Linked DNA regions of Cricetulus griseus. The protein of the gene in region 1 interacts with the protein of each later gene in a pairwise test. Links are inferred from orthologs where the notes say so. Each region holds a gene or a part of one and is shown in the gene's direction. Other genes may lie near its edges. The genes, in order: Plin1 and Abhd5.

Evidence for each region.
Region 2: the proteins of Plin1 (region 1) and Abhd5 interact in a protein complementation assay, tested with the Homo sapiens proteins (3 studies listed by BioGRID, with this or other methods). The link is inferred for Cricetulus griseus from reciprocal best matches to the Homo sapiens genes PLIN1 and ABHD5.

What each region holds. Positions count from the first base shown.
Region 1 is NC_048596.1:117,867,056-117,883,070, forward strand, and holds Plin1 (perilipin-1), read left to right. Parts: upstream 1-2,728; coding exon 2,729-2,773; intron 2,774-6,158; coding exon 6,159-6,363; intron 6,364-8,293; coding exon 8,294-8,376; intron 8,377-9,605; coding exon 9,606-9,858; intron 9,859-10,370; coding exon 10,371-10,543; intron 10,544-12,629; coding exon 12,630-12,830; intron 12,831-13,260; coding exon 13,261-13,506; intron 13,507-14,242; coding exon 14,243-14,581; 3' UTR 14,582-15,438; downstream 15,439-16,015. UniProt on the Homo sapiens protein: Modulator of adipocyte lipid metabolism. Coats lipid storage droplets to protect them from breakdown by hormone-sensitive lipase (HSL). Its absence may result in leanness. Plays a role in unilocular lipid droplet formation by activating CIDEC.
Region 2 is NC_048597.1:229,332,172-229,348,186, forward strand, and holds part of Abhd5 (1-acylglycerol-3-phosphate O-acyltransferase ABHD5), read left to right. Parts: intron 1-8,225; coding exon 8,226-8,311; intron 8,312-10,391; coding exon 10,392-10,764; intron 10,765-16,015. UniProt on the Homo sapiens protein: Coenzyme A-dependent lysophosphatidic acid acyltransferase that catalyzes the transfer of an acyl group on a lysophosphatidic acid.

The sequences.
Region 1 (16,015 bases):
CACAGAATGGCCAAGATCCCTGCTCTCCTGTAGTGGAGGGAATGAAGCAGCATGAGATAGCTTGGAGAACTGCCTCTTACCCTTGCCCCCTTAGTATTTGCCTGGCTCTTTTCTTTCTCACCTCTCACCCACATTCTAGAATCCCAGTGGAAGCAGCCAGAGGACCAGCTTTGTCAGCAGAGTTTTAGGCACAGAGCCCTATAGCCCCTCTGGCCCAAAGCCACCGCCTGAGAAGGCAGGCTGCCCTTTAGCCTGGGTTGTGTCCAGATGGGAGCCTTCCAGATCATTTGTCCTGGACCTTGAAGTGAGAGCAGAGTCCACTTTACATACTTCCCTCCTTCTCCAGAGCTGCCGTATAGCTTAAAAGCTCAGACCAAGATTAATAAGTAGCAAATGCTTCACTTATTTATTACTTCTTTTGGAAGTTCCATGCTCCACATTCCTCCCTTTCCTGACATCTTATTCCCTGTCTTATTTATTATTATTTATATGAAGGTTAAACAGGGACCTATCTGAATCTGTTTCTTTTTTTATTTTATTTATTATGCATACAACATTCTGCTTCCATGTATATCTGCACACCAGAAGAGGGCACCAGATCTCATAATGGATGGTTGTGAGTCACTATATGGTTGCTGGGAATTGAACTCAGGACCTGTGGAAGAGCAGTCAGTGCTCTTAACCTCTGAGCCATCTCTCCAACCCCTGAATCTGTTTCTTACATCCTTATTTTCTATTACATTTATTTATGTAGTGTGCTTGTGTGTGTGTGTGTGTGTGTGTGTGTGTGTGTGTGTGTGCGCTCGCGCGCGTGTGTGTGGTGTGTGTGTGTGTGTGTGAATGCGTGCACATAGGTCAGAGGACATTTTGCCAGAATCAGTTCTCTATCATATAGGTCCCAGGGATTGAACTCAGGTGGTCAGGCTTGGTGGCAATCCCCTTAACCTGCTGAGCCATTTTGCTGAACCTACTGCCCAGTGCCTTTCTTTTCTCTTATCCACACTAACAACTTAGCAGAATCAAAACATAAAGATCTGCTGCCAGCTAATATTTAGTGTTGTCCTCTCATCCATTTTGACTGAGGCCTTTCTAGATGGTCTAAAGCTACTGGTTGGGCCCATAGTGTTCTGTCCTCTTTAATCAGGCACTAAAGTTTGAGCCTGGGCTTGAGTCCCTGTTGAGGAATGAATGGCACGTGCTGATAGTTCTTGTCTGTCTGGGTACTATTGGCTGCCAACAAAACAAAGCTCATCAGCACCATCACTTCTCCCGACTCAGGTGAACAAATCCCAGTGATTCTCCTCCTTCCTGTTCTGGTAGTATCTTAGGCTATGCCCTCAGTCCCTGACTTTTTGAGGCAAGCGCTTGCTATGTCGGTGAGGGGGCCCTCCAATTATCAATCCTGCCTCAGCATCCTGAGTGCTAGGATTACTGGCACTTGCTACCACAACCAGCTTCAAAATATTTTCTTAAACTTTCAAGATTTACAAAGGTTAAAACTATTCTCTCAGAGCCCAGATTATTAATAGCTCAACTCTCAACTCTATTTTGTCTTTGCAAGTAATTTATCTTGATAGTCATCGACTAATACAGTAAGCTGAACCCATCCCTGTGTGGGTTTGAATCATGCTGTTCACTAGTCATCCTTGCTAGCAAATAACAAAGGATAGGAGAAACTATATGGGAGTATTGTCCATAGAAACTTTTGGGGAAAGGGACCAAAGATTACAGAATTACATGGAACTTTGAACTTAGGAGTTTAATGACACAAGTACTATTGCCTTTTTTACGGAAAGCAATTTTTGTCATTAAAAGCCAGAAATATTCAGGAACTATTGTCTCGGGGCTCTAGCACAGGACTCCTTCAGCTCTGTGAGCCTTCTCATCATTGGCCTAACAGTCCCCACAGAAGCTAGGATGAGCCCAGGGGACATCCTGGGTCAGGCAGCTATGGTAATGGGCCACCCATCTTTCTCTTCCTCTTTGCCCTCCTCCTGCTGGGAGGTCTGAGAGGCATTGCCCAACATTCTCTGGAGTGGCTGGAGGATTTCTGTGGAGAAGTCTTCTGCAGTTGGGTTTTCTGAGACCGAGGTGGCTGTCAGCTGCAGTGAGTGTGGGGTCCCGGGTGTCTGCTTTACCTGAGTGTTTAGAGGGAAGGAGCTGAGAGGAAGAGCAGATGGGGAACTTACTGAGGGATGCAGAGCTCTGCAGAGAGACCATTGAGGAAAAGACACAGGTTGAAAGACCAGGGCACAGAGTGGCCATTGGCTTATCCAGAAGACAGTTCTTTTAGGAGAAGGCTTACCTAGTTGGCAGTAGAGGGAAATAGTAATTAACTAGAATTTTGTCATGAAGAAAAGTAAACGCTACCCGACGCTCATTCTTTAGTCTCTTTGGGACTCTGATTTAAGAGCCCCAGACTTCATCCTAAACCTTTTCTCTCATTATCTCGTCAACCTAACTTATCTACATTTTCTTTTGTCTTGAGCCTTTAAAAAAAAGCATCAATTTTGAGCAGACTATGGAGTTCACTTTGAGCAGACCAGGAGACTCAGTGTGTTGGGACTCCAAGGAGTGGCCTCTCTATGTGACATTCACTCCCAACCTAGGGCAGCTGAGCTCTCAGTGACTGTGGGTGGCTGTGAGAGGTAGGGAGCCACCCTGTGGTTTGCAAGTCTGTGGGCTTCTGATGGACCTGGGACTCTGCTTTGCAGCCTGAAGAGGAAGGATGGCAATGAACAAGGGCCCAACTTTGCTGGATGGAGACCTCCCTGTAAGTAACCTGGGCTCATGTGAGATGGGGAATGGGCCACCAAGGGAGAAGGGAGTGAGCAGAGAGGGGAGCCAGGGGACCTAAGCAAGATGTGTCTACCTACGTTCCGAATTCACTGTCCCACTATTCCTGCCCTTGCCACCATTAACAGAGGTGTTTGGGGAACTGGGAAAAAGAGAAGATGCCTGTGATGGTCTGGTCTAAGAGCCTTGGAGAAAAGGATAGGAGTGCCAGCTGGGGGCTAAGGAGAGACAGGGAAAGAAATCGCCATGTCCTAAACCCCAAGACAACAGTCCACCACCCAGATGAGCATGTCTGCCATTGGGTGCCCATGCATAGTCTGTGACTCTGCAATGCACTACCTGTGCCACCGTGTGCGAGAATACACTGGACTTCAATGTGTCCAGCATTTATCTCTGGCCTGGATCTCACCATGATTTTAAGTAATTCTGATACTTTTATTAAAATGTCCTTGATTTGCTTTGCCAAGACCTCTCTGATTTGGGTACAGTTCAGATGTTAGTAAAATTCAGAGGTATGAGCCTGTAGGAGACTAAATTCATCCAAAACTAGGCTTTGATGAACCTCTGTACTAGGGATCACTGCCTTTTTTGTACTAAATCGTAAGAGATGTGTAAATGGGTCACAAAAAATGTTAGGTCTTCTTATCGGTTAATGGTTTTTTCCATTCCCAGCCCCTTTCTCCTTTAGCTTTGTTCAAAACCCTTGAAAGCACTGCGCAAAGCGTTAAAGAAGGTGTTTCCGCATGTAGTCTAAATCCCTTTCTCCTCTAATAACTGACTTACCAGAAGGACAAAAAGCTAAAATAACATGGCTGTTTGGTCCCCTGGCCCACACAGGTCTCCTTGATGGCATGTCACAGGGTGCATCTAAAGTCATACAGAGCTGGAGCTGATGGGTTAACCTTGAAGAGTGGCTCATACTACTTTTTCTATGGACAGTTCTTAACAAGACTAGGCAAATACATACAAGTTCCCAGGATTGTTGACAAATTCCAAAGGCCATGAACCCATGACCAATCTGCCACATCCTCTCCCAATCATTAATTTATTTGGAAGTACATTCCATATATTCCATTTCAAACCTGACTTGGAAGCAGTCCAATATAAGTGACACATGTTTATAATCTCAGAACTTGGGAGGTAGAGGCAGGAGAATCAGATGCTGAAGGCCAGTCCAGCCTTGGTTACATAATGAGTTTAAGGCCAGTCTGGACTAAATGAGACCCTATCCCTTTTTCATTGTTTTTGGTTTGCTTTGGCTTGGTTTGGTTTTTTGAGACAGGGATTCTCTGTGTAACAATTCTGGCTGTCCTGGAACTCTCTTTTAGACCAGGTTGGCCTTGAACTCACAAAGATCTGCCTGCCTCTGCCTCTGGACTGCAGGGATTAAAGTGCTGGGTGTCACCACACCCAGCAAGACCCTTTCTCAAAAACACAAAAAAATCAAATCAAACCTGACTGAAGTCCTGCCTCTGCTACTTACTATCTGTGTGATCTTGGGAAAGTTATCTCCGAATCTCAAATATTTCTAACAGCAAACTACAGTTAGGATTGAGATCAAGGCACCCTGGAACCCTACAGCATAATGGTCTCTAGTAAATGTTGCTTCCTACTAGGAGACCAGATCCATTCTTTCACTGGAAGATTGGGCTCTTTCTACTAGCTAAAGTGTAATTATGTAAATGCTGACAAAGCAAAATGCTTTGGTAAGAGATGACTCCACTACACACAAAGGCTCAGATTCACTGGAGTACCAACTTAAAAATGGAGTGTTATAGCCCGGCAGTGGTGGCGCACACCTTTAATTCCAGCACTCAGGAGGCAGAGGCAGGTGGATCTCAGTGAGTTCAAGACCAGCCTGGTCTACAAGAGCTAGTTCCAGGACAGCTTCCAAAGCCACAGAGAAACCTGTCTCGGAAAAAAAAAAAAATCAAACAAACAAAAAATGGAGTCGTATATCTTAAGAAAGGCCATGCCAAATCATAAAGTGTCAGGAGGAAAGGGTCACAAGCCCATTGTGTGATCCACTTATAAACTAAGATAGGAAATGTAGCTATTGCCTATAGTGAAGGGACTTTTGCAGGGAGTCACACCTAACTTGAAGTATGTGATGGGCTGACACACAAAAGGTGAAGTAGATTTGTCCAGGGTTGTTCCTGTGGGGCAGGGTGTGGAGGCAGACTTGAGCTCAGCAGTCATCCAACTAGGGAGCCAGCCACTCTGTGGAGGCATCAAGCCCACCCAAGGAGATTTCCAAATACAAGTCTAGTGAGACTTTCTGGAAAGGAGTCTTGCTGAGGAACCTCAGGAGGCCCAAATCCTGCTATTCTGTGTAGTTAAGAAGAGCCTGTGGGCGGTGGTGGCACACACCTTTCGTCCCAGTACTGGGGACGCAGAGGCAGGCGGATCTCTGTGAGTTCTAGAGCAGCCTGATCTACAAAGCAAGTTACAGGACAGCCAGAGCTACACAGTAAAACCCTGTCTCAAAACAAACAAACAAACAAACATACACAGAACAAGAAAAAAGAAAGGAAAAAAACGTAAATAAAGAAGATCCTAAACATATTCTACAAGGCACAGCTCCATGTATGGCTCATTTCTCCAGAGTTAGGCTTTCAGACAGGCACTGGGGAACTAGAGGACATTCTCCTGGGAGAAAGGAGGCAGACACACATAATCATACAGGGTGACAGATGTAGAGATAGCCCAAGGACAGACACAGCCATGATGGAAGAGAATCAAAAGTTGGTCATGGTGACACATGTTTATAATCCCAGCATTTGGGAGGAGGAGTCAGTAGGATCAGTAGTTCAATGTCATCCTTAGCTAAGTAGTGAGTTCAATGTCATCCTTAGCTAAGTAGCGAGTTCAAGGCCATCCATGGCTAGTTGAGACCCTGTCTCACCAAGGAGGTGATAGTGAGAGAATAATATTCTACCCAGTAGAAAGGGATGTTCGAGGGAAGGCAAGCCTATTTGGCAGTGGTCCAGCATTTATAGACATGGGCGAAACATCTCAGAAAGACCATTAAAATGTTTAGATGAAGCTACCAGTTGAAGGTGGACTAACAGATACATTAACTTTATCAGTCTAAGAGGCATGATCTGGGAGGGAGATGGGATTTGGCTTGTACAGATCACCTCAGGAGTTCTCCAGAATCTAGGTAGTGACCAGGAATGCCTGGCAGACAGATTCAGTTTCCCTGTGGGCTCCTTCATGGTCTTATGACTGGGCCATTTATAGACACCCTGTTTCCCTTACACTTGGGCTGGCCTCACCAACGTCATGCAAGACCCAGGCTAGTGTCAGCTTGCAGGGAGGTTGAGCAGGGAGTGGGGTATAACTTTTTTCTTTGCCCACAGGAGCAGGAGAATGTGCTCCATAGAGTCCTGCAGCTGCCTGTGGTGAGCGGCACCTGTGAGTGCTTCCAGAAGACCTACAACAGCACCAAGGAAGCCCACCCCCTGGTGGCGTCTGTGTGCAATGCCTATGAGAAGGGTGTACAGGGCGCCAGCAATCTGGCTGCCTGGAGCATGGAGCCGGTGGTCCGCAGGCTGTCCACCCAGTGTGAGTTCTCATAGAACCTGGCAATGGCCTGCCTGCCCACTGATAGTCATTCCATGTCTATCTGTCTGTCTGCTTGCCAGTCTATCTGATCATCTCACAACTTGTTTGTCCACCTCCCTTGCCTGCCTATATTCAATTTCCTGGTCTAATCATCTGCAGATATAGAGGCATACATGCAGATCTCTTTGTGTCTATACAGCCTCAGCTGCAGCCCAGCCTAGGACATCCTAGGCTAACAATGACACCCAAAGAATTTTCAGGGGGATAGATGGGCAAATCTATGTGAGCAATGGTGAGTGGAGCCAGCGGCAGGACATCTCGAGTCACGCGGGCTCCAAATACAGCAGAAAGAGCAGTGTCATGAACCGGAAGTCTCAGTGAAAGCAGGGCCTAGCAGTGCAGAAGAGCACCATGGAAAGAAAAGGCCCATTCACCCGGCTGCTGTTACTGGCCTCGGACAGGTGGGGCAGTAGAGAGCTATCAAGCAGGGACCTGGGGGCAGGAACAAGGTTTACCCTGTCTCCATCAGAAAATGTGGTCTCTAAGACTCAGCTCGGCCAGGTTGGTAGTGGGTCATGCCTTTAGTCCCAGAACGCAGGAGGCAGGGGCAGACAGATCTCTGTGAGTTCGAGGCCAGCCTGGTCTACAGAGTGAGTTCCAGGACAGGTTCCAAAGCTACAGAGAAACCCTGTCTGGAAAAAACAAAAAAGACTCAGCTCTTGTCAGAGTTGAGGGAAATCTAAGCAGCGCCGAGAAGTCTAGCATCTTCTATCGTCCTAATAGATTGTGGTTATGTGAGGATTCTACCCAGCAACCAGGCAAGGAAGCCTTAAAGGCTCCATTTCAAATTCATGTTCTCATAGATGGCCCTGGTTAAACTGAGTGGGTCACAAAAAAAAAAAAAAAAATGACAGGAACATGAGAAACAGATATGAGGGTTGGCAACATTGGAAGAGAGACAAGAGAAGATGTGGGGATGTGTATAAAGTTATCCAAGAAAAACTTATTCAACTAATAATAATAATAAAAATACTGAAGGCCCTATGCTAACCCTCATGGGTGCCCTTATTCTGTCCAATCAGAAGACAGCCAAAGTCATCTGGGCTCTTTGTTGTTTCAAAGAAACATGAAAGAGTACCTATAAATACTCTTTAAACCTGTGCCTTCCATGACCTTGGCCACAGAGCCTACATCCTCAGCAGACCACGGGCAGAGTGCCCTAGAAACACCTGCATCCTCTGGGGCATGTCCCACTCCTCAGGGCAGCTGGGTCCTCTTCCCTGTGGCGCCTTTCAGCTGCAGCCATCTTGACAGCTGGCGGTTAAAACTGGTCCTAGGGACAATCTGGAGCTGCTCTGGCCGTGACTGTAACTCCATCATCTCCAAACCAGGCCTGGTGCCCCTGAGGCCAATGGCAAAGCTCTGGTGCCACCTGGCACACTCCCTCATGGATTCTCACTTCCTCACACCCTTCCTGAACACTGAACAGGGAGGTTGGGTGGAGAGAACAGCCTTTGGTGGGGATTCATAGAGCTGCCATCAAGTTTGCCTGTGCATTCACACTTTACAAACACATGGGCTGTCGGCTCTGGCTCCTGACAGGAGGGGGCAGCAGAGAGCTGCTGTCCAGGGCCCTAGAGGTAAAGAATGGGGCACCTGTGCGCCTTTCCTGGTGTTCAGACCGGTGGAACTCGTTAAAGCCACATGCTGAGCAGGTGCAGGTCTTACCGTCTCTAAAACGGCCCTGCTCTCAAGGCGTCATAAGTACCTACCTGGGGGCTAAAGATAGCAATGAGTCTCTGGCTCCAGATGACCTGGTAGCCCAAGGGCTGGGATCTGTGGGTCCCAATGTACTTTCCTTTGAGACGGAGGCCACTGTTATTTTCTCAGGAGGGGGCAAGGATCACCCAACACAGCCTTTCCCTTTCAGTCACAGCTGCCAATGAGTTGGCCTGCAGAGGCCTGGACCACCTGGAGGAAAAGATTCCGGCTCTTCAATACCCTCCAGAAAAGGTGAGTCCTTCCTCTTCCCTAGTGCTCCCTACACTGTTGCGACCTCCTCTCAGGAAGGAGAACAGCTGATGTCCTGGCTGTGTAACTTTCTGTGTTCACGGGGTGAGCGCTTTCTTAGGCAGGTGGAGACCCCCGCTTCCTCTTTCTGTGGGGTCAGGTAAAGTGGTGGTGTCTGGGATAGCAGGCAAATGCCTCAGATAAGCTCAGACAGATACTTTCATGCCCCTCAAGGGGCGGAAGGAAGGGCTAACCCCAGTGTGGACCCTCCATAATTGCACAGCCTTCTGATACTGTGGCCTTGAGATCTGGGACTCTGTGGGTTTTCATAGGACTATGTGATGACAACAGCTACCTAAGATCTTGCATCCCTCTCACTGGGATCTCGGGATTACATACATGGCCTCGAGATCCAACACTTTATGGACCACGAGACTAAACAAGTCACTTCCCTCTGGCCTTATCCAGTGCTGGCTTCAATAAGGCCTATGACCTCATCTCTTTTACTGCCCAACCACCAACCTGTCCTACAAATCTCCCCCACCCTGCCCTTGCCAACAGCTGAAGAATGGGCTTCATGGAGCCCTCCCAGGTCATCCTTGGTGATGGGACTTGCTACACTCATTGTGCAGATGAATAAACACAGCCTGAGGTGGAATACACTCCTCTCTAGTGCTCCAGACCAAGTCAACTTGTATTTGTCACAGAGCAGCTTCCGGGTCTCAGGAGGAAGAAGGCAAATTACTCCATCATAAAACTTGCAAGAGGGCCATTCATATCTATCTATCAGTGTGAACAGTGTGCTGAGGGACAGACAGAGGAGGGAGGGTAGGGCTTTGGAAGAGGGATGCCTTGTGTGAATGAGGGTATCAGGACTATCCTCAAAGGATGGATCTTCACACAGTGTAGAAGCAAGGTGGCCGGCACAGCAAAGATGGCCTTTTCCTTTCCCACATATCCACATATTCTTGCTGGTCCCTGGGTCCATTTTTAATTTTTTAATGTTTAGACAGGATCTCGTACTATAGCCCAGGCTGGTCTGGAGTTCACTATGTAGCCAAAGATAGTACCAAACTCATGGTGATCCCTCTGCTTCAGCTTCCAGTCCTTGTATTACAAGTGTGTGCCGTCATGCCCCCGTGTGCCTGGGTCTTTAAATGGGGCCCTCCAGGGAGCTGGGCTCAGGGCCTGTGAGGAAATCCAACAGCTGACTGTCTCCCCACACTCCTCAGATTGCCTCTGAACTGAAAGGCACCATCTCTACCCGCCTTCGAAGTGCCAGGAACAGCATCAGTGTGCCCATCGCAAGCACTTCGGACAAGGTCCTGGCCAGCTGCGAGCTAGCCTTGGGGATGGCTAAAGAGACAGCAGAATATGCTGCCAACACCCGAGTTGGCCGACTGGCCTCTGGAGGGGCTGATCTGGCTCTGGGAGGCATTGAGAAGGTGGTAGAGTTCCTCCTGCCACCAGCCAAGGAAGAGTCAGGTACCTGCCCACCAGACTAGCTTGCTACCCTGGGATCAGTGGGAGACTACAAGTATTGCTGGCCTTGTGCTGGCATAGGGAATGCCCCTTAGAATCTCCAGAGGATCTCAGTCCTTTAGTCCCTCCATTCCAGGTGTGTGTGTGAGAGAGAGAAGGAACTGGCATTGGCTGTCACTAGTGGGGTCATGGTAGAAGTAAGGCAACTGTTTTCCGGCCCAAGGTACAAGCCTGAGTCCATTTTCTATAGTATTTATTCTTTCAAAATTTTACATGTATGAGTGTTTTGACTGCATGGATGTGTGCACACAGCGTGTGTGACTACTGCCTGCAAGAGCCAGAGGAGGATCTTGGATCCCTTGGAACTGGAGTTACAGATGGTTGTGAGCTATCAAATTGGTGCTGGGAATTGAATTCAAGTCCTCTACAAGAGTGACAAGTGCTCTTAACTGCTGAGCTGTCTCTCCAGGCCCCTCAGTCCCTTTTTGATGTTTTCTTCCATATCTTCTATTCAGCCCCCGCTTCTGGACGGCATCGTGCCCAGAAAACTCCCAAGGCCAAACCCAGCCTCATGAGGAGGGTCAGCACCCTGGCCAACACTCTTTCTCGACATACCATGCAGACCACTGCCTGGGCCCTGAAGCAGGGCCACTCTCTGGCCATGTGGGTCCCGGGTGTGGCACCCCTGGTGAGTGTCTGCTCAGAACTCTGCCTAACCCCTGCTCTGTGGGTTTCCCAGTCCCTCTGTCTTGGGAATATTCTTCAAGCTGGGCTGTGACTTTAGACATAGAGACAGGGGCTTAAGAGGATGGTGGGCTAATTGCCCAGACTGTGGAAGAAGAGAAAGGGCAGTACACAAACCGTGTGGGTGGTCCTGCCCCATCACCCTCTTCTGTCTCCCCCACCCTCCCTTGGAGTCTCCCTGGCTCCCAACATTCATGACTCCAAGTGGGCCTCTTACGTGGGCCTTCCCACCTCCGTTTGCTACTAAAACACTAGAAGTGTCACCCATAAACAAATAAACAAAACAAAAAAATCACAAAAAAAGCACATCCAGTGGGATGAGAATCCCAATAGCCTTTGCCCCAGACTGTGCAGATTTGCAGTCTTTCCTTCTGGGGGCTCCTGTCTCCCCCACCACACCCAGGCCAAGCTGCTTCTCCATTCATCTTGATAAGGTTAGGCTGCAGTTTTTGGAAATACAGAACTTAGTGGGAAACTAAGAGGGGAAAAAAGGAAAGGAAGAAGAAGAAAAAACATTAAAGTCAGGCATATAAACACAGACTAATAATCTCCACACCTGGGAGTCAGAGGCAGGGGGATTTCTTCAAGTTCAAGACCAGCTTTGTCTACAGAGTGAGTTCTAGCATATCCAAGCTATATGGTGAGACCCTATTTCAAAAGACAACAACAGAAGACCCTTAGACAAAGACAGACAGAAAACCAGAGACAAATGAAACAATGAGGACATGGAGGTGTCTGGACTGGGCTGCAGCTGGGTAGTAGAGTGTTTGCTTGCTCTGCTTACTCGAGGCCACACACCTGCAGAACTACAAGAGAAAACCCAGGAGTCAGCAGGAAGTGACTGCTTTTCAGTCATGTGAAATGTCCTTTTACTTTATTTTTTAAACTTTAATTGACTAATTTTTTTTGAGTTAGGGTTTCATCCTGTGGCCCAGGTTAGCCCTTAATTTGTGGCAATCTTTCTGCCTCCACCTTATAAGTGTCGGGATTGCAAGTGTTTCCCATCACACCTGGATGTGAGTGGAAATCTTTTTCAAATTTGATTTTGACTTATTATTACTCTGTGTGTTGTCGTCCTCCCCTTCTGAGATATAGGGGGATGCATGCTATGATGGCATGATGGCCCCTGTGCCAAGGTCAAAAGACAACTCTTAGGGGCTGGGTCACTTAAGAAGCAAGACAGGAGGATCCCTGCAAGTTTAAGGCCAGCCTGATCTACACAGTGAGTTCCCGCCAGCCAGGATTACATAATGAGACCTTGTCTTAAAAAATAAATGTAAATAAAAATAAATGAATAAGCATCCAGGTTGGGGATACAAGCTCAAGCTTTGTAGGGAAGAGCCCCGGATTCCATCTTAACACTAAAAAGAGAATGGCCAGAAAGAATGTGTGGCTGTAAAGTCAGAACATGTGCCACAGACTGGGGAATACAGATTGAAGAGACTTTTTTTTTTTTTTTTTTTTTTTTGAGACAGGGTTTCTCTGTGGCTTTGGAGGCTGTCCTGTAACTCTATAGACTAGGCTGGTCTTGAACTCACAGAGCTCCTCCTGCCTCTGCCTCCCGAGTGTTGGGATTAAAGGCATGCGCCACCAACACCCGGCTGAGACTTACTCTTGGGGTGTTGAAATATTCTCTGTCTCCATCTGCTATAGCTACATAGGGTGTGCTTACAAAAATCGCCAGAGTTCTATGCTAACTATGTATGTTCAATGACAAGCTATTACTAATAAAAATGCTGGGGGAGAGACTAAGTAGGTGATTCAGTGGTTAAGAACACTTGTTGCTGTTGCAGAGGATCCAGGTTCAGACCCGCCCATAACTCCGGTTCAAGGGAATCTGATGCTCTCTTCTGACCTCTGTGGGCACCAGGCACATATGCATACGCATAAAATAAAACAAAGATATATATATATATCTGAAACCCTGTGGGGCCAGCCTCTGCTCACCACCCCTGCCCCTGCTCCTGAGACAAGGACCTTACAGCCTAGAGGGGCCCACTGAGCCAGCTCCCTCTGCCATCCTCCCTCAGAGCAGCCTGGCCCAGTGGGGCGCATCAGCAGCCATGCAGGTGGTGTCCCGGCGACGGAGTGAGGTGCGAGTGCCCTGGCTGCACAACTTAGCAGCCTCCCAGGATGAAAGCCATGATGACCAGACGGACACCACCGAAGGAGAGGAGACAGACGAGGAGGAGGAAGAAGAGGGATCGGAGGTTGAAGAGAGCGTCAGGGAGGTGATGAAGAGAGTGAGAGCCTAAGGCCTCACGGCCCAGGGGTCGGGGAGAGCAGTAGAGGGGCAGGGTAGAATAAAGGACTCTGTCCCCAGGTCACCCCCAATCCACAGCCGACTCAGTATCTCTGTGTCCCTCAGCGGGCTCCACAACACCCACAAAAGTAGGCAGGGCGGCCATTGCTGCTCCATTTTGCAGACAGAGAGACTGGGGTTCAAGAGAGAGGAAGTGACATGCCTTAGGCCTATCCGCAGCTAGGGACAGACCCAGGCCTAGGGTTTTTTTTTTTTTTTAATTTTTTTTATTGTTGTTGCTGTTTTATTTTTTGTTTCTATTTTGTGTCCTTGTTTCCCTCCTGGCTCTGGGCTGGTGGTTAGGAAAAGGGTCAGAGGAACTGATGTAGGGCAGGGGCTAACGGTTCTCTGGCCCACAGGTAACAGCCCTGCCCAACCAGAGAGGCCTCCTAGGTGGCGTGGTACACACCATGCAGAAGACTCTCCGGAACACCATCTCAGCAGTGACCTGGGCACCTGCGGCTGTGCTGGGCACGGTGGGAAGGATCCTGCACCTCACGCCAGCCCAGGCTGTGTCCTCCACCAAAGGGAGGGCCATGTCCCTATCCGATGCCCTGAAGGGTGTTACTGATAACGTGGTAGACACCGTAGTACACTATGTGCCGGTGAGTCCCACCACGGGGACACCTACTCCCAAGGTAGATTTGACTGAAGGAGATGTAGACCCCCCTCCACCGCCTCCCTTCCAGCCCCTGGAGACCCTTCTCCAACTTCTCCAATCTTCAGTACTCAAAACCTTCTTACACACTGATCTTTCCCAGCCCAGAGTCACATGTTCACAGCCCTGGCCTCAGACCTCTTCCCTACTTTGTGCCTCCCATTTGATGATGGAGTCGTTGGTCTGTGAGTCCCTAGAGGCTCAACCCTCTCACTTCAGCTCCCAGAGGAAGGGCCTGGCAATAGGCTTTCAGGGTACCTGGAGCAGTAGGCTGTGCATTCGAAGGACAGTAGCTGGCCCTATGTCAGCTCTATCAACCTGCGGGGAGGTGGGGCAAGACTAATGCCATCTTTTTGGGAATCCCTGAGACCCTCTCCAAAGGAAGTTAGAGGTTGAGCATGTTGAAAAAGAACAGGAGGTGCCCCTAGAGCTAGCCAGGGGAAAGGTTACTCAATCATTGAAAGTGGGTGGGTGTCATGCTTCAAGGAGGGGGACTGCGCCCACTACCAGAGGCGATCAGAGTTCTTAGAACCTTAGGGGTCTCCCGGATGCCCTTCATCCTTATGGCCTATACCCCAGTCTGTGCCCTTGTGATGGCTGCCCCGGGGGTGGGGGTGGGAGGGGAAATATGCCAAAGGCCATAGAAAGGGCAGTGACTCCTAACAAGAGTGCCTGGCTGTCAGCTTCCCAGGCTGTCCCTGATGGAGCCCGAGAGCGAATTCAGAGACATCGATAACCCGCCAGAAGAGGCCGAGCGCAAGGGGTCCGGGGCGAGGCCCGCCAGTCCGGAGTCCGCACAGCGCCCAGGCCAGCCTCGCGGCAGCTTGCGCAACGTGCGGGGGCTCAGCGCGCCCTCCTGCCCCGGTCTTGACGACAAGGCGGAGACGTCGGCGCGTCCCGGCTTCCTGGCCATGCCCCGAGAGAAGCCTGCTCGCAGGGTCAGCGACAGCTTCTTTAGGCCCAGCGTCATGGAGCCCATCCTTGGCCGTGCACAGTACAACCAGCTGCGCAAGAAGAGCTGAGAGGGCTGCGTCCCTGCTCGCCCCGCTTCGCCACAAGGAAACAGAAACGACACTTCTAAGTGGGTCTCCTTCAGGGCGGCCCCTTGGGAGCCTGAGCCACATCCCCACGATGCTGTCGAGGCATCACTTCTAAAGCATCCTTTGGCGGCCTGACCATCACAGGCAGTTTTTAAGGGGCACCGGAGCAGCCGGCAATTCTCATTTCATGGCTTTCTTTACTTTTCTTTAGCTAAAAAAGCAATTGCTTAATTGGATTTCTCACTTCTTTAGCAAAACTGGCCAATGACACCTGACTGGTTCTAAAATTCAAATCCCTTCTCTGTGAACATGTATTTATTGCTAAAAAGCAGTGAGTCAGTTAATATTTTCTTTTATTTTTCTTTCTCTTCCCTCCTCTTCCTCCTCCTCCTTTGTCTCCTCCTCCCTCTTCTTTCTTCCTTCTCCCAAGTAGCCCAGACTGGCCACTCCCTCTGAATGTCAGGAATTCTCAGGGCATCTTTAGCACTGAGCTCTGAGACCCTCTGATTACCTAGCTCTCAGCACGCTGCTTTAAAAGAACAACAAGGTGCCAAAGCCTTTGTGTGCTTATTTAGATAACAGTCCTAGTTTCTGAGTCTCTGTCCCCTGCGCAGGTGGGGCCTCTGCTCTGTCCTCTGTAGTGCCAGCTTTTACTCACAGCCCCACTTCCATTGAATCACTCTTGCCTTCTCCCTGTATGGTCACTCTTGAATGTTGATACTCCAGATGCTGGGAGCCAACAATGGTCAACTTCAGCCTAATGGTGTATATTATATTATTATATAGAGGGCATATCCATAGCCACCATTCATTTCAAATTCCATTTTTGGAAATGTCAATATTTGGTCAATCTAAGAAATTCATAAATATACTTGTAATGTTCAAACATTTCAAGGTGTGTGTTTTTCTTTCTGGATTTCTCAGTTCTCTTTCATAAAAACAGCCACAGTTCAGTTTCTCATGGGTCCTTCCAGTTATAGGCTATGCTTGGGCAAGCACATACGTATAAACATCTACCTTTACTTATACAAACTGTGGGTGGTGTCCTCCCTGGCTTTTCCCACTCTGATCAATACATCATTTTTAAATGCTTATAATGCTTAAAAAACAATTTGTTTCTTTTGCTTTACATGCACAAATGTTTTTCTAAATATATATGTGTCTGTGTACCATATGTGTTCCTGGTGCCCACGGAGGTTAGAAGGGGGCATTGGATCCCCTGGTACTGTAATAGGTAGTTAGCTGCCATGTGGGTGCTGGGAATAAAACCTTGGACCTCTGCAACAGCAAAGCGTGCTCTTAACCACGGAGCCGTCTCTCCAGCTCCTCAACTATACATCTTACCAATTTTTGTACCAGTATGAGAAGTCCTACATACTCTTTTGAATGGTAATCCATGATATGAAAGTAGTAAGA
Region 2 (16,015 bases), on another chromosome or scaffold:
TGGTTGAGTTTGGGGGAAAGTTATCACAGAATCACACTATTGCAGACTGGACCATAAAATAGGTGGCTTGCAGGGCAGGCTAGAGTTGGTCTGTACTGGCAGACTGTTGCTGAATTTTCAGAAATACAGCACCAGCATCTCGAAGCCAGCCATTGTGAGAGAATTCACACTATGGAAGTCATCAAAGGCTATTAAGTAAAGACAGGGTTTCTCCCTCTCTGCCTCAGTTGACTTGCTAGAGTCCTGATGTTAAAGCCTGTGTGTAGTCCTGTGCTTTGGAGAGTCGAGGGTGAGCTTCTTCATCTTACCTCCTAAGGAACTGATAAGATCTGTACTTCCTGCTGCTTTTGCTCTGTAATCCTTGCCCCATGACTTCTTCAAAATCATGAAATTCTGTAATGCCAGTACTTATCTGACATGGGTCTTACACACATGCACACCAACACACACTGACCTCAAGACCTCATGTGAGCGCTGTTCCACTAAGCTACATCTCCCAGCCCTCTTTCGTCCTTTTCAATATTCAGTACTGTAGTGAAACTCTAATTGGACAGCTAACTCTTTCAATATTTTGTTTACTCTCTTAACTGAGACCAGCAGTTACTTTTTTTAGGGTCTATTCTTTTAACTATTTTCTAAATACAATAATTCCCTAAGAGTTTATTACTATCTTTATTTTTTATTTATGCACAGTTCTTGAACTAGCTTGTCTTCGAAGGACTGAGATCTCACTCTCTTCTGTACTGTAGTGTACTGTTTGTGTTTGCCAGCTGTTTGTGTCCAATTTCAAGTGTATTGAAATAGCTATTTTGTTACATAGCCTATTTTGTCTCCTCCTTTAAATGTGTAAAGTGAATAGCTCTTCCCCTTACAGTCTATTTTTTTGAAGACAGTTTCATCCTTCTGACTGTCTACACTCTTGTAACTGGCCTCTAAGTATCAAACCTGTTCCCTTGTCTCTGGATAACAAATCAATTATCAAGTCCCCATAGAGTCTGCTGACAACCTGCCCTTTATTGTCCCACTATTACCCGGGGGCCACTTAGTTCAAAACCTTCATATTCTTCCCTTGGACTTTTGCAAGTTTGGTAACATACCAAGGACGTAGTTCCTTTTCTATTTCCAAGAGGAACTCGTCTTCACACACAGTGGCTCTGTTATGGTTATGGTATATCTTTAGTCGGACGGCAAAACCACTTGGGATCTGAATGTGGCTTCCATTCAGCTTTGAGTTTTGTTTTCTTTGTGCACACAGAACCCTGGAGAGCTGTGCTTTTCATACTTGCTAAACATGCTGCCTGCTTCTCTCACTGTTCAGGGTTTGCTCCACTTCATTTGCTGTAACCCAGGAGAGATTACGACCTTCCTTCTTTCTCTAAGGCGTGGAGTTTTGTGGGTTGGTGTGATGCCTGCGTGTGTGTGCACGTGTGTGTGTGTGTGTGTGTGTGTGTGTGTGTGTGTGTATGCACGTGTGTGTGTATGCATGTGTGTGTGTGTGTGAGTGTGTGTGTCTGTGTGTGTGTCTCTCTCTGTGTGTGTGTATGTGAGTGTGTGTATGCACGTGTGTGTATGCACGTGTGTGTGTGTGAGTGTGTGTGTATGCACGTGTGTGTGTATGCACGTGTGTGTGTGCACACGTGTGTGTGTGTGTGCACGTGTGTGTGAGTGTGTGTGTATGCACGTGTGTGTATGCACGTGTGTGTGTGTGTGTGTGTGTGTGTGTGTGTGTGTGTGTGTGTGGGGTGTGTGTGTGTGTGTGTGTGTGTGTGTGTGTGTGTGTGTGTGTGTGTGTAAGCCAGATGAGAACATTGGACGCCTTCATCTGTCACTCTCACTGAACCTGAAACTTGGTTCTGACTAGTCTAGCTCCTGGGATCTGCTCCCAATGTTGGGGTTATAGTCATGCAAGGACCTGAACTTAGGTCCTCCGCTGAGCCATCTCCTCAGCCTCCATGGTATTTCTTTTAAATACATTTTTGTTTTCGAAAGACAAGATCTTGTATTGTGGCCTTCAACTTGTGAACGTTCTGCCTTTACTTCTCAAATGCCAGGAGGACAGGCATGCACCACCTCACTCAGCTCCAGCGCCCATGTCACTGAAGTACTGTTATTAAACAGCATTCTTATTTATGTATTTGTTTTGTCAGCCCAGAACAAGGCTTTTGTCCTACTCAAATGTTTGGCAGAGTCCAAAAGGATTTTATAAGTGGTAATCTTTAGTATTTTTTATTAAACCTTTAACTGTTGTAAACTTATGCTGACATGAACACTAAGCTTACAAACCTCATAGTAAATTATTCATATCTCAGGTGTGTGACTTATTTGTGTTCCTAAAATATTCAGAAATTTTTGTATATGAGTAGGACAGTAATTAGAATCACACACTTCAATATTCCTGGGATGTTGGGAACAGGGTCTACTTCTTGACCTCAGATGAACCGATCCACGCCTCTCCATTCCTGCACTCTAGAATGTCAGTCACAGATCAGCAATGCAGATGTCAACCCTGTAACAACAACAACAAAAAACAAAGATTATAAAATCAGGGGTGGGCCATATAATCAAAATAATGCTCAACAATATGTTTCAAGACTCATAGATGTGACCCATACTATTTTAACACCTACTCTGAAACATTGTTTTTTAAAATAACCTTGACTACTTGTTAAATTTTTAGTTAAGCTTAATGCACCCCCAATTGTAAGTTATAAAAAAGTGTAAAGATAATTTTATTAAAAATAATTATTAGATTTGAGACCTTCATTGTCTAATGGCTAAGGTTATTTTATAATTGACTTAAACATTTCTCTGACTTGTTGAACAGTGAGCATGAATGTTCACATGTAACTGCTTCAGATGTGTCTGACTCTTCTCCTGAGCAGTTGTTTTACTGTGTGAGGGAATGCCATAGAAAGGTTTTGCGTGTGTGGGTGTGCTTGCGGGTATTAAACTCTAGGTTTTATAAGACAGTGTATTTCTGTATAGACTAGACTGGTCTCAAAAATCTTAATCTCTGTGCTTCATCCTCCTGATGGCTGGCCTTACAGGCCTGAGTCACACCACACAGCCTTAAAGAGATGCTAAACTATATGTTGGTCTATTAGAAGGTTGTGTGCTGTCATGGATACAATGGCCAGTGACAACCTGAGTCATTATAGTAACATATCTAAAAATGTTACGTTCATCACTTAAGTTGTACTTGTGTGTGGCGTATCCTCTTTCTCTTTCACAAGAATGGGATTTTTAAAAATCCAATTCCCAAGAAAGGAGGCCTTCGGTTGTGTTGCAATTCCAGTGTGGAATGTTTTAGTTCTTCTTTGAGGAATTATTTCAGAGGAATGTGTATATTACCTCTAACGTGTTTATTTATTAAAGAAAAACAGAGCTTCCTGGCTCCTTGAAGATATAATTCTGTGCTTGGATTGCAGAGAACAATAGCAAGCACACTTTCTCCTCTTGAGTATACCAGTAGAGGGATGGAGCAAAACTGTAACATAATGAAATCCTCTTTACTTATAACCTAATTAGAAATGTTAAGTGGCCAACAGAGTATGTGGAAATTGGCCAGGCTTCTGTATATTTTCTTCAGGATACTTTGAAACCTCTTTCACCATTTCACAATATTTATAGATTGTGCAATTCAGGTTTAGTAACACTATAGATAGTCAGATGGCTTGGAGAACAAAACAGGAATTACCAGGAACTTAAGTGTCCATGGCACGAGGTACAAGTACATTGTTAGTGATAGTTACAAAAAAATGAGGTGGAAAGTTCAGGGGGAAATGCAGGGTACTTAAAATCAGCTGGGTTTTTTGGTAAATATACTCTAGTATGTTAATCACAACTATTTGGCTTTCCTAAGAGTTATCACTTTTAGTGTGGTCTTCTAAAACTTTAACTATTTTTTTGTTTGTTTGTTTCCACTCCAGTGGTTTTAAATCTAGAGCAAGAGTCTTTTGATTATTTTCTTTTTTAAATTAGATGCTTCAGGGCATGTACCTTCTGCCATACCGACATGGTCAGTGCCCAGGTCATAGGGCTTTTGCTAAAAACCTTTTGGCATACACCGGCAAGCCTTCCTGGTGTGTATGTGTGTACTTTGGGGAAATTACAAACTTTGCAGTGAATGGCTTTTCTTGGTATTGCAGTTGACATTTCCATCTGTAATCATGCCTTAGCTGTGGATAATAATGCTTATCAATTATTGCTTAAATAGGTTATACATTTCTATTTTACAAAACTGTGGAGAGATGGCTATTCCATTTACTGCTCTTCAGCTGGACTGTGAGGATTTTTGCCTTGAATCTGTGACCTCAGAAGAATGGCTCCGAGTCGGACAGCCTTAGATCCAGTGTCCACATGCTAAGCCCAGGGAGTGCCAGACAACTGAGTGACCTCAGAGACTCAGGAGAAAGGAACCGTCTCTTTGGAGATGCAGTTAAGTTATTTTGCAGACACACGAGTGGATTGGCCAGGGAATAACAGAGCTAGCAAGAAAAGAATGAGGACTTCTGAACAAGAGACTGAAGGGCAGGCAGACAGACCACGGCTTTTCACTCTTTGCAGGTGTCCCTTGGGGTCTGCTATGTGTGTGGTACTTTGTCTTACAGGTGCAGAGTAGAAGTCCACTTCTGTAAAAATCTTACCAGCAATCTGAGTAAAGCAAACCTGGACAGAGGTACTGTTAGGCTTAGGGGAACATGCTATCTTCATAGTTTTATTAGGAATGAAAATATGTGGGGTTTTTTTCCCCACTTTAAATATACTATAGAAAAAGCTCATTTGTAAAAATTGGCCTTGTGCTGATGAAAAGGTAGCTATGAAAATATAATGAGAATTGGTGCCCCTTAATTTTTAATGTAACCCACTAGGCTTACAAACACTAAATTGAACTAGCCATTAGGAGTCAAAATTCATAGATAGTTCTAGCCTTTGAAGATTATTTTGTGGGCCAGATGAGATGGTTTGTACCTCCAATTCTAGCACCAGGGTGGTAGAGGCAAGTGAATCAAAAATTCAAGACCATTTTCAGCTGCTTAGCAATACAAGCTTGGGCTACCGGAGAACCCATGTCACAAAGAAAAGAGTTGCTGTTTGAAGTGGCAAGCCAGTACAGGGAGACCCACACCTGTACTATAGTCTGCTGCGTAACTTTTAAAATTCTAAACTCCTGGACGAAGGTTTTCAGTCTGAATTTTTTGGTGTGTGTTTGTTTTTTGTTCTTAATGACTGAAGCAAATATTGCCTTTGTGCTTTCTTTGTCCCAACTTGTGTATGTCATTTGGAGCAATAGTAGATTATGGTTCAATTTATTTTTTGTACTGATCTCTGACAAAGAACTGTGTTATGATCTGAAAGATATTTGTTGATGAGATTCAGTTATACGTAACTTCTGTTCATAATTTTATGATGTGGGCATAAAAGAGGATGAAAGAGCTTCCTTCAGTTTAACAATAGTTTTGTTTTTTGTTTTTTTGTTTTTCGAGACAGGATTTCTCTGTGGCTTTGGAAGCCGTCCTAGCTCTTGTAGACCAGGCTGGCCTCGAACTCACAGAGATCCACCTGCCTCTGCCTCCCAAGTGTTGGGATTAAATGCGTGTGCCACCAACACCTGGCATTTTTTTTTTTAAGATTCTATTTATTATTTATACAACATTCTGCTTCCATGTATATCTGCACACCAGAAGAGGGCACCAGATCTCATAACGGATGGTTGTAAGCCACCATGTGGTTGCTGGGAATTGAACTCAGGACCTCTGGAAGAGCAGCTAGGGCTCTTACCCTCTGAGCCATCTCTGTAGCCCTAACAATAGTTTTAAAACAAGCAAAAATGCATTACCCTCCTTGTTGAAAATTTTACAAACTGCTAATAAATTAAAAAAAAAAAAAAAAACAAGACTGAAGTTTGCAGACAGACTGCCTACTCATCATTGGACTAGAGTTAACACTTTCTTAGGTTACACCTCCACAGTTGGTCAGTGCAGCACTTGTGAGGGGTGTCCACGGGTCCTCTGGTCTTGTCTTGTCAGTGCACAAGTGTGAAACTGGCATTTTAACGCAGGCCCTTATATGCCTAACTATACAGCTTATGAAAAGCTGACCAGATATATCTGCTAATATTCTTATCTTGATTCTATTTGTTAGACAGATAGACAGACACACAGACACAGAGCTACTGAACCTACCAGGAAATTTTGTCTAAAGACCAAGACCAGATGGAAGTTAACTGTAAACATAAAGGGACAGACAAGCTTGTATTAGAGAGTGTAGCTATTAGGTCATTATCCTGCCCTCTCTCCAGTCACCTTTTGTGTTCCATGCTGATGTCTCTTTCCCGAGTTTCTTCTTTGTGTCAACTTTCAGTTATTTTTTGTTTTGAAGTTTCAGGCCCTTGTCCTGCCCACATACCTTGTTGCTGTAGAACCGGAGGTACGCTGAGTGCTTCTTGCCTGTAGAGAGAGTCCATCTGCCTTTCTTGATCACACACCTATGTGAGTCTGCTGACTGCAGCCTCCCGTTCCCATTCCCAAGGGCTCACATGACCACCAGCTGGCGTGTTTAGCAGTGGGTGTTAAGGTCAGCTTTGAGGTAGATTTGACTTTTGGTGTGTTCACCAGGCAGTAGGCAGATGACAAACAGCCACTGACTACAGGAACTGTATCTGTAGCAAGGACCATGCCTCTGCACCCCAGGAATGATGTTTCTGTGAAAGCGAGGGGTTAGGACCAAGGGAAGAGCTGGGTGGCCGCAGAAACACTCAGTAGTGTGAAGTTTTGAGAGAAATGACACAAAGCAAAAGCCAAGCTGGGCAGGAGCAGATTGGACAGGACCCAGGAGTGTGGGCCACCTGTGCACAATAGCCAATTCCTCAGGCGTTTGAGGGAGGTACTCTCCTGTGGACAACAGGGATTTGGGGGTACGTTTGTTACTAGCTTCGTATCCTCTACCCTGATGTCAGCGTCACATCTGTGAACTGGGCCTAATTTGGACTAAGATGACTCTAAATTGTAAGTGACCTAATCGTTCAAACACTGGCTACTGAGTTCCTGTTATATTATAAAGTATTTTATAGGGAAAGGAAATGTAGGGAGCTTCTGTGAAGTTTAGGAAAAGGTAGAGACTGAATCACCCCTTCCCTTCCCAATCCTCGCCTAATTTCTCTACACTCACACCACTTTGTTTCTCTTGCTAATTGTTTTAGTCTATTTAAGACACAGAGTCAAAGCCAGGGCCTCCATTTCTGTCTTTCATTTGCATCCCTATCTGTATTTAGTGTGTTCTCCATCATGATAGTGGTGCTGTGAGGAGAAACCGCAAGACTATATCACACCATTGACCAGATTTAGCGTGTTTCCGTTTTAAACATTCTTTGGCCAGATCTTCATGTCTTGGTCCCCTTCACCAGTGCTGTGGTTCAGGCCCTGAGCTTTCTTCTAGAATCGATCCCCTTTTCAGATTCATTATCTTTCATCAGAAGTGTCTCACTACCATCACAGAGTCCTTGCCAGCTTAGACGGCGGCTAAACTCTCAGGGCCTCAAATGACTGACTGCCGTGAGGTTTTGGTCTGCTGCCAGGCCCGAAGCTGAAGTTTCTCCCACCTAGCTAGTGTCAGCTGTATAGCCTTTCTTTCTCCGTCTTCCCGCTCCTGTTTCCTCAGACCCGCTTTCCTTGTTCTCTTGGCTCCACTGTGTTCAGACAGCTACAGTGCTATTCTGCTCTTTGCCGTGTATGGGAGCCAAGGTTGCTCTGTCCACCGACAGTTAACCAGCTGCCCTAGGCAGGTTGAGGGCAAGCCATAGGCTCTTTGCACTTTCTCTTGATATCTGAAGCTTTTCCTTTTTCTAGTTTTTTAAATGAGAATTGTAAATAGTTTTCTTTTCACTGTAAGCCTGCTGTTGAGGAGAAGCAAACCTATTCACTCGTAGACCAGCTTTTTTGCACTTCTAGCCCATTCAGAGACTGCCGTACTTTGGGAATGGTGCCCCTCTCTTCCTTTCTCCCTCCTTCTTTCCTTTCTTTTTGCCTCTCTATAGTTACTTGGATCTGACTATCCTGAAAGGTAAGGTAGGCGCCCAGTGCCTGTCCCATTAACTTGTGCCACCTGTACTTGCCCCCACACACACAGGCGGTGGGTTCCTCTGAGGCTTTGTTTTTCAGGTGTTGTAGCTGAGAGTTAAGAAAAGCATGGCCTCACCTATGTGCACTTTGCTTTTGGTATTCTAGGTCAGGATGGCTGACAGGGTGGCTTCCGACCTGGTGCCCTACGTCTACATCACACCTTAAAGAAGCTGAAGAGAAAATGTTAAAATGTAAGGTTTTCCTCTTGTAAAGTTACTTAACTATTTACTAAAATAGATCTAATATATTGCATTGTCCGGAGAGAGCGTGTGCGTGCGCACACACAAGTACACACACAGACACACAACACAGGCACACACACACACACACACACACACAATTAAAAAATATTTTTAAAAGAATGGAAAATAAGGCTTTGTTAAAAGTCTTAATATCCTTAAAACCTGTGGAAGACCTTCCTGATATGCCAGACTATATAGTTGAGAGCACATTCTTGTGTTCCAGGGTCTCATTAGTGGAACACAGTCCAGGCTGAACCTAGCAACTGGACCCAGACCTGCTGTGCAGTGGTGGCAGCCTTTGGGCAAGTCACCCTGTTCGGCCTCCCATTCTTTAACTCTGGAATGAGGGGTAGGGTGCTCTTGGCGGTGCCTTTGGATTGTGCCATCGTTACATCCACGTTTGTATTGTCACAGAGTCCTGTAATTTTTTTCTTAATGAGCACTGAAATTGATCCAGACCTCTGGTATTTATTGTACAATTTTGTTCTGATGATAGAATCTACAGGAGTGGGTAAAGTAAGGGCTTCTACTGATGTCTGTCTACACCTGTTCTTCACTCTCTTTACCATCAATGATTTTCTTGTTTGTTCATTTGGCAATTGCAGAGTAAGTGACCATAACTGGTTACATTCTTAGGAATGGTAGTTAGCCCTGTTATGTGGATTTTAACACAATGAATTTCTGTTCCATATACTTGAATGATGTTGCTCTTCACAAAAACTAGCAGAATTTTCATTGTGGTTTACCAAAATAAACTTTTTTCCCCCAAGACAAGGTTTCTTTGTGTAACTAACCCTGGCTGTCCTGGAACTCAAATTCACAGAGATCCACCTGCCTCTGCTAGGATTAAAGGTGTGTGCCACTATCACCCAGTGGTGCTAGATTCTAGATTCCGTGTGTGTGTGTGTGTGTGTGTGTGTGTGTCTAAGAACTGCCTGCTCTGATGTCAGACATGAATGTGAGTGACTGAACATCAGGATGAGCTCTCACTAAATGTTAAAAATAATTTTTATGGGAATTCTCAGGCCCGTTTCAAACACTGAAGAGATCTGGCTCTGGCTCATTTCAAAGCCTGGCTCAGCTCCTCTTCTAGGTGAGGGGTTTCTTTCCAGTTAAGGCAGGGCACCCATCACATCCCTAAATGCACACCGCTTTCTCTCTGCTGCCACCATGAATACAAAACCTAAGTTAGCTCTTTGACAAAGGGAAGAAACATGTGACTGTCCATATTTTGTCTGTCACACATGTATATGCACGGGTGTTTAAGGACATTCCTGGAGTGTAGCTATTCAGTTGATGGTTTATTATCAATCAACTTTAGTTTTACCTTTGACCAACTTGAGGGTTTAAAGTATTTTGTTTTATGTAGTTTTGAACACAAGGGTTTTGATCTATAAAACTGTACTTTTATTTTCTGGGCAATCGCTTGAACTCGGATTGCCTCATGATGAAGTTCTTGCCATGCCCCGTCTCTCACACACACACACACACACACACACACACACACACACACACACACACACACACACACACACACACACACACACACACACCGCTTTTTACTAAGCTTTAAATGATCTCGCTCACCGGGTATGTGTTTAGAGTGGATATAGTTACTCCTTCCCCAAGTTCCCGATGACTTTCCATGGTCCTTTCAAGTCTGACTTCAGTCTCAAATGCTAACCTGTGAAGTGCTCTACAAATTCAAAGTAGTATTCTTGTTATTGTCTGCAAAGCTAGGGACCTTAAAATAACAGGGTTAAAGGCCACTAGGCTCTTCTCCAGTTCTAGGCATGTAATGTCCTCATATGATAGAGTGGAGAGAAATCGGGAGGTCATATACTCGAGGCTTTCCTAAGGTAAGTCTTCCCACGTAGTTATAAAACATGGTTAGTTGGATTTGCTTGCTTTAATCAGGTATAGACTCTTTTGGGGTCGATGCAATAAAAGGTGAAATAGCATGACTGAGTTTACCCTGAGAGTGCTTGGAAGCAGCGAGACTGAGTGGAGTGCTCTCTGTCTCCACCAGGTGTCCCCTGCACGTACAAGAAAGAGCCCGTCCGCATATCCAATGGAAACAGAATATGGACACTGATGTTCTCTCACGACATTTCCAGTAAGACACCACTCGTCCTCCTCCACGGCTTTGGAGGAGGTCTTGGACTTTGGGCCCTGAATTTTGAAGATCTAAGCACTGACAGGCCCGTCTATGCCTTTGACCTCTTGGGCTTTGGAAGAAGTAGTCGACCTAGGTTTGACAGCGATGCTGAAGAGGTGGAGAACCAGTTTGTGGAGTCCATTGAGGAGTGGAGGTGTGCCCTCGGGCTGAACAAAATGATCCTGCTTGGACACAACCTTGGAGGGTTCCTGGCCGCTGCTTACTCACTGAAATACCCATCAAGGTAAGTGTCAGTGACAGAGGAGAGGGTCACAGCCTGCGTCCAAGTGTTAGCCTCCAGTTCCTGTTCTTTTTTCTTCATAAATTTTATTTAAATTGGAAATAATTTTATACATTTTATTTAATAGAAATGATTTTGTACATTTGATTTAAATTAGAAACAATCTAATTTCCTTCTCCCTCCCATCAAAATCTGTCATGTCATTTGGGACAAGGCCTAGGCCCTCCCCCTATGGCAACTCTTGTAACACGGATTGTGCAACAAGCCCACACCTACTCTGAAAAGGCCACACCTCCTAGTAGTGCCTCTCTAATGACCAAGCAGTCAAATATGAGCCAATGGAGGCCATTCCTGATCAAATCATCACACAGACGTACCAGAAAGTCTCAATTTAACACCAAAGAAGACAGCTTTATATCTTTGTACATGGAATGCTCTAAATTCTATGGGAACTCCTTCGACCATAAGATCAGGTTGATGCAGCTGGGGCAGAATTACATACAGCTGGCAGGGAGGCACAGGCTAGTGCCCACCTTTTATCCCATCACTTGGGAGGCAGAGGCAGGCGGATCCCTGGTTCCCGTTTTTGGTGGTGACTGTTAGCCTTACACGAGAGACATTCTCTTAAAAGACCCAATAGGTAGACAACCACAACTGGTAACCCACTTTGTAGCTTAAAGGATGATATCAGATTTTGTTGATAGGCTTGACAAAGGACAATATTTTTTATTCATAATGACACAAAATCTAATCTCTTAAGTTCTTTGGGGACAAGGTCTCACTGTATAGCTCTGACTGGCCTGGAGCTTGGTGTGTGGACCAAGATGGCCTCCAATTCACAGAGATCTAGCTGTCTCTTTGTCCCTGGTGCTACAATTAAAGACATGCACCACAGTGCCTGACCTGGTGTAGCTTTAAGCCACCCATAAAAATACTATGGTGTAATTGCTTTTTTCTTTTTTTAACTATAATAATTAAAACTTTGGAACCAGCAGGCTTTTCCAGACTTTTTGCTAAATTATAGTTAAGTTATAAAGGGAAGCAGACTATATCTTTGTGAATGAGCAAATTGTATGAGCTCTGGACTTTAGTTTTTTTCATATAGTGTACCTTTCATGGGTTTTGACTATATCATTCCCTGAATGTTTTCATTACAGAGCCTTTAAATAATCATTTTGAGACAGGACCTTTTGGATTGCTAACTTACCATGGACCCATGCTGACCTCCAGCTTCCAACTCGAGCCTTTCGGGATTGTAGACTTAACCCACCATGCTCAGGAGGCACTGTTTTTCAGTCCTTGAATTAGTGGCCATTTTGCTTTAGAATCTTTCTACTGTTTTTCTTTCACTGTTTCTTATGACACTGGTTTTCCATCAGAAGTCGCATTTTAGTCCAAAGAAAATAAAAGGAAAAGTTTTTATCTCCGTTTGAGCTTTGTTTGTAGAGGAGAGTGTCAGCGTTTCTGTGTTGCTGGTGAATTTTTCCACTGGACTGTTTTTTAAATCTAGAATTAAAGAGGTGATGGACGTTGAGAATTGTGGGTGAAGCACTCTGATGGTCACTTTCAGAGTGTCTGTCCCCATCCACAAGGCCACTCTGTTTCACAGCTGCTGGTATGGGGTCTGCACAGTGGAACAGGATACTGTGTTTGCCTCTGCCATGGTTCCTTTTCTCCAAAGATTCAGTGTGTCAACTTTAGCCTTTGTACCCAAGTTTTCTGGTGGATTCAAAACTCTTTATATGCTTGACAGAGATAGTCCTGTCACCCAGAAGACCTGTTCATTAAAACATCAACAAAACCTGTCACATTTTTTTTTCTTGGTGGGCATTTTAAGTCCATTTTTTAATTGCATCCTACTCACGGCAACAGAAACTTAATGATATTTGTGAGAGATAGAGGAAAGGCGTAGTGGAGACAGCTGAGCTGCTTGGGGTTTGACTCCCTGTGTGTGTTATGGCGTCTCTGGAGCTAGGACATGAGGCTATGGGCTGGACTGTCATCAACTCTACGTTGCAAACCCTCAACCCTTTATAGGTAGCTACTGACTAGGAGAACTGGAGAAACTTTCACTTGCAGTAGTGAAACGCTCTGAAGAAGCAGAACTTGGCAAATGCTGAAAATCCATCTGTGGAGAGAAGAGCAACAGCTGATCCCTCATAGTGCCGGCTGCACTTCAGACAGTGCATTATGGGTGTGGGAGCCAGAAACCACTAAGTAGTGGTCATAAGTGGAGTGTGTCTAAATTCCTATTCTTACTATCACAGGGTTGGACGACACCCCAAAACTGTATCCATCCATCCGCCTCCTTCCCTCCCTCTCTCTCTCTTTCTAGATTTATTTTATTTTATTTGGGTTTGGTTTGGTTTTGAGATTAGGATTTCTAATAGTCTTGGCTATCCTGGAATTAGCTGCTTAAACCAAGCTGGCCTTGAACTCACAGAGATCTGCCTGCCTCTGCTTCCCAGTTCCTGGGATCGAAGTTGTGTGTCACTATTCCTGACTTAATCATATTTTTTTTAAACTCATACTTTTGACTTCATAACATTGATTAGACACGGGTGCATATTTCCAAGTGCCCCTGCCCATCAGAGCCATTTTGCAGCCTTCCTGTGGCAGTGTTCCTGCCGGCTGATAAAAGCTGTGTGCTGTGCCCTTGACTCCTTGTGATGACTCCTCGGGTCTTCCATGAAGCATTGGTGATGAATGGAGTGTCCAATAGTGTATTCTAGGAGATTGGCTGTTGACTGATCTTCAGTGACTGTGTTTGTTGGGGAGGGCATTTTGTTTTAATTCCCTTCTTTAAAATGTCGGAAGAAGCACCTGAGCTCTGTGCACACTATAAACTGGTGGTTGGAGTCACAGCGGTATTTCCCCAGATGCTATTCATCACACCCTCCCTAAGGAATGCGTCAGAGTTCACCACACCTTGTTGGTGTGTAGATATATATGCCCAGTTGTGCTGTGCACAGGGGGAAGGAGGCTCTGGGCCATGTGTGCATGTGTACTGGAGTGGCGCTTTCAATACCCACACAGGGCTCTGCCCCTGGGATGAGTGTTATGGTGGGGGACACGGACAGTGCTGTGAGAACCTGATCTAGTCTCTGCTTCAATGATGGTCTAAAGAAATATTTCTTGATCTAAGATCTAAAAGAGGACTACTGGGTGGCAGGGGATTATTACAGTCAATGGGCATATGTTTCAAAGGCCCATGCTAGCAGGCACCGGTGCTGTTTAGGAAAGGCCAGTGGGCAGAGAAGTTACGGGCTAGCTAATAGAGGACTCCAATGAAGGCACGGCCCCTCGTTCCTTCCCACGCAGCAACCTCAGTTCATCCCAACTTTTTTTAAACTCGTGTGTGATGAGTGGAGATGCCCCCTGGAATTTTGTTAGTAGATTCATATGATGGGTCACAAATAGAGCTACTTGCTGCTTGAGGAATCTTGAGCTGTCTTCCCTTAGCAAGAGTGAAGCTAGCCAGTGTTGGTAGCCAAGATGCTTGCCCCTTCCTCTCAACTGTTCAGATTTTGCTTTTAGAGCTCCTTCCTTTGTGAAGAAACGTCTGTGTTGCAGGTATTTGCTACACACTAAGAAAAAGGATATGATACACGCTTAGAAGGTTGTATGGAACCTATGTAGTATGATACATAACTGCAGTCCCTGCACCCAAGGGACAGAGGCGGGGGGGGGGGGGGACCTGGAGGCCACTCTGGAACACATAATGGGATCTTGTCTCAAAAGAGAAACAAGTAGAAAGGGACTAGCAAAAAGACCCACCCTAGGTTATAACAGCATGTTAGAACTTGTCTCCACTAACAAAGACTTTTGGACAATACTATCTTGAGTCCCGTCCCTACTGCCCTTGCCTGACTGCTTCCTGACAATGCAGGCCTGGGCTGAGCATCTTCTTGGCTCCTCTTAAGAATTGCGATTGGCCTGGAACTGAAGTGCTTTGGTGGTTTCAGGTCCTTTCTCCTCAGTGGTGTGGTGCCAACAGGAAATACCCCAGGCTACCCTCCAGTCTGAGAGTGCTCCTTTATGTAGACTGGAATTCTTTGTAGTCATATTCTTTGCTCCTTTCCTTGTTTCAAGGAGGCCCTGTAAATTTCCTGGTGCATTTCAGTTCTGGGACTGATTGTTCTGGCTGTATCATTCTCGCTGGCAGCTGACCGAATCTATAAAAATCAAGTGTGTGTAGTCATGTGCTCATTTAGACAGAACACCGTCTCATCCCAGTGAAGCTGTGACCCATTGCTTTGCCCTGAAAGGTGTAAGCTGTTTATGTGACTACCGTCAAGAAGAATGCCTTTTTTTTTTTTTTTTCCTGACACTGATGGGCTGTTGTCATATTCCTGCTCTTCTGGTTCTTCATTTGTCCTGTAGTTTAATCACACTCTAGTTCTTGAGGAAGATGTCGTCTGATAGGATGACTCACTCCTTACCCTATATTTAAGCTGACAGGCCTGTCGGTGGGGCTAGGACAGTGGCTGAGGTCTGTAATCTTAGCTTTCAGGAGGCAGAGAGGCAGGGGGAGCACTACAAACGTGAGGCTGGCCCAGGCTACACAGTGTCTTCAAAAGAGAGCAAATAAAAATTTAAAAGCCCTCCAGTGGAATAAATTTTGCTGCGATAGCTTCCATCACAGAATTCTTACCATGGTAGCCACCAAGTGCAATGCTTTTGTGTGGTCTGTTGTATTGAAAAGGCTTCCAGTGAAAAACAAGGCCATTATTTTGTGAGGGCTTTTTCGTGTAGCTAAAGTGGATGCAGTCTAACTACATTTCTGATGTTGGAGGCTTTAAAACTTTATTTTAAAACATCGTTTTCTGTAAGTGTTGTAAAGAGTGTGTGTGTGTGTGTGTAGGGGGATGAATATTCATGCTTGTTGTATTTTTCAGTTCCAAATAATACATGTTTTTTTGAAAATAATATTGGCTTTTGGCCCTCTGTAATAACTTCTAAGTTTTATCATAACAAGCAGCAATATGATCCAGTACCATCTGGGGGACCACAACATCCAAACTAGACAAAGATGGCACTGTAGAACATTTGAATGTTGTTACTAAGAACCAAAACCAGACTTGCAAATGCTTACCAAGCACCTGCCACTTTTGCCATGCTGAAGACAGGCTTGAACAATCCTCGGTCAATTTAATACTTTTCAAAAACAAAAAAATCCAAGTTCTTCACCCTGGTTTATATATTTTACAAATTTTTTTTTTTTTTTTTTTTTTTTTTTTTTTTTTTTCGAGAC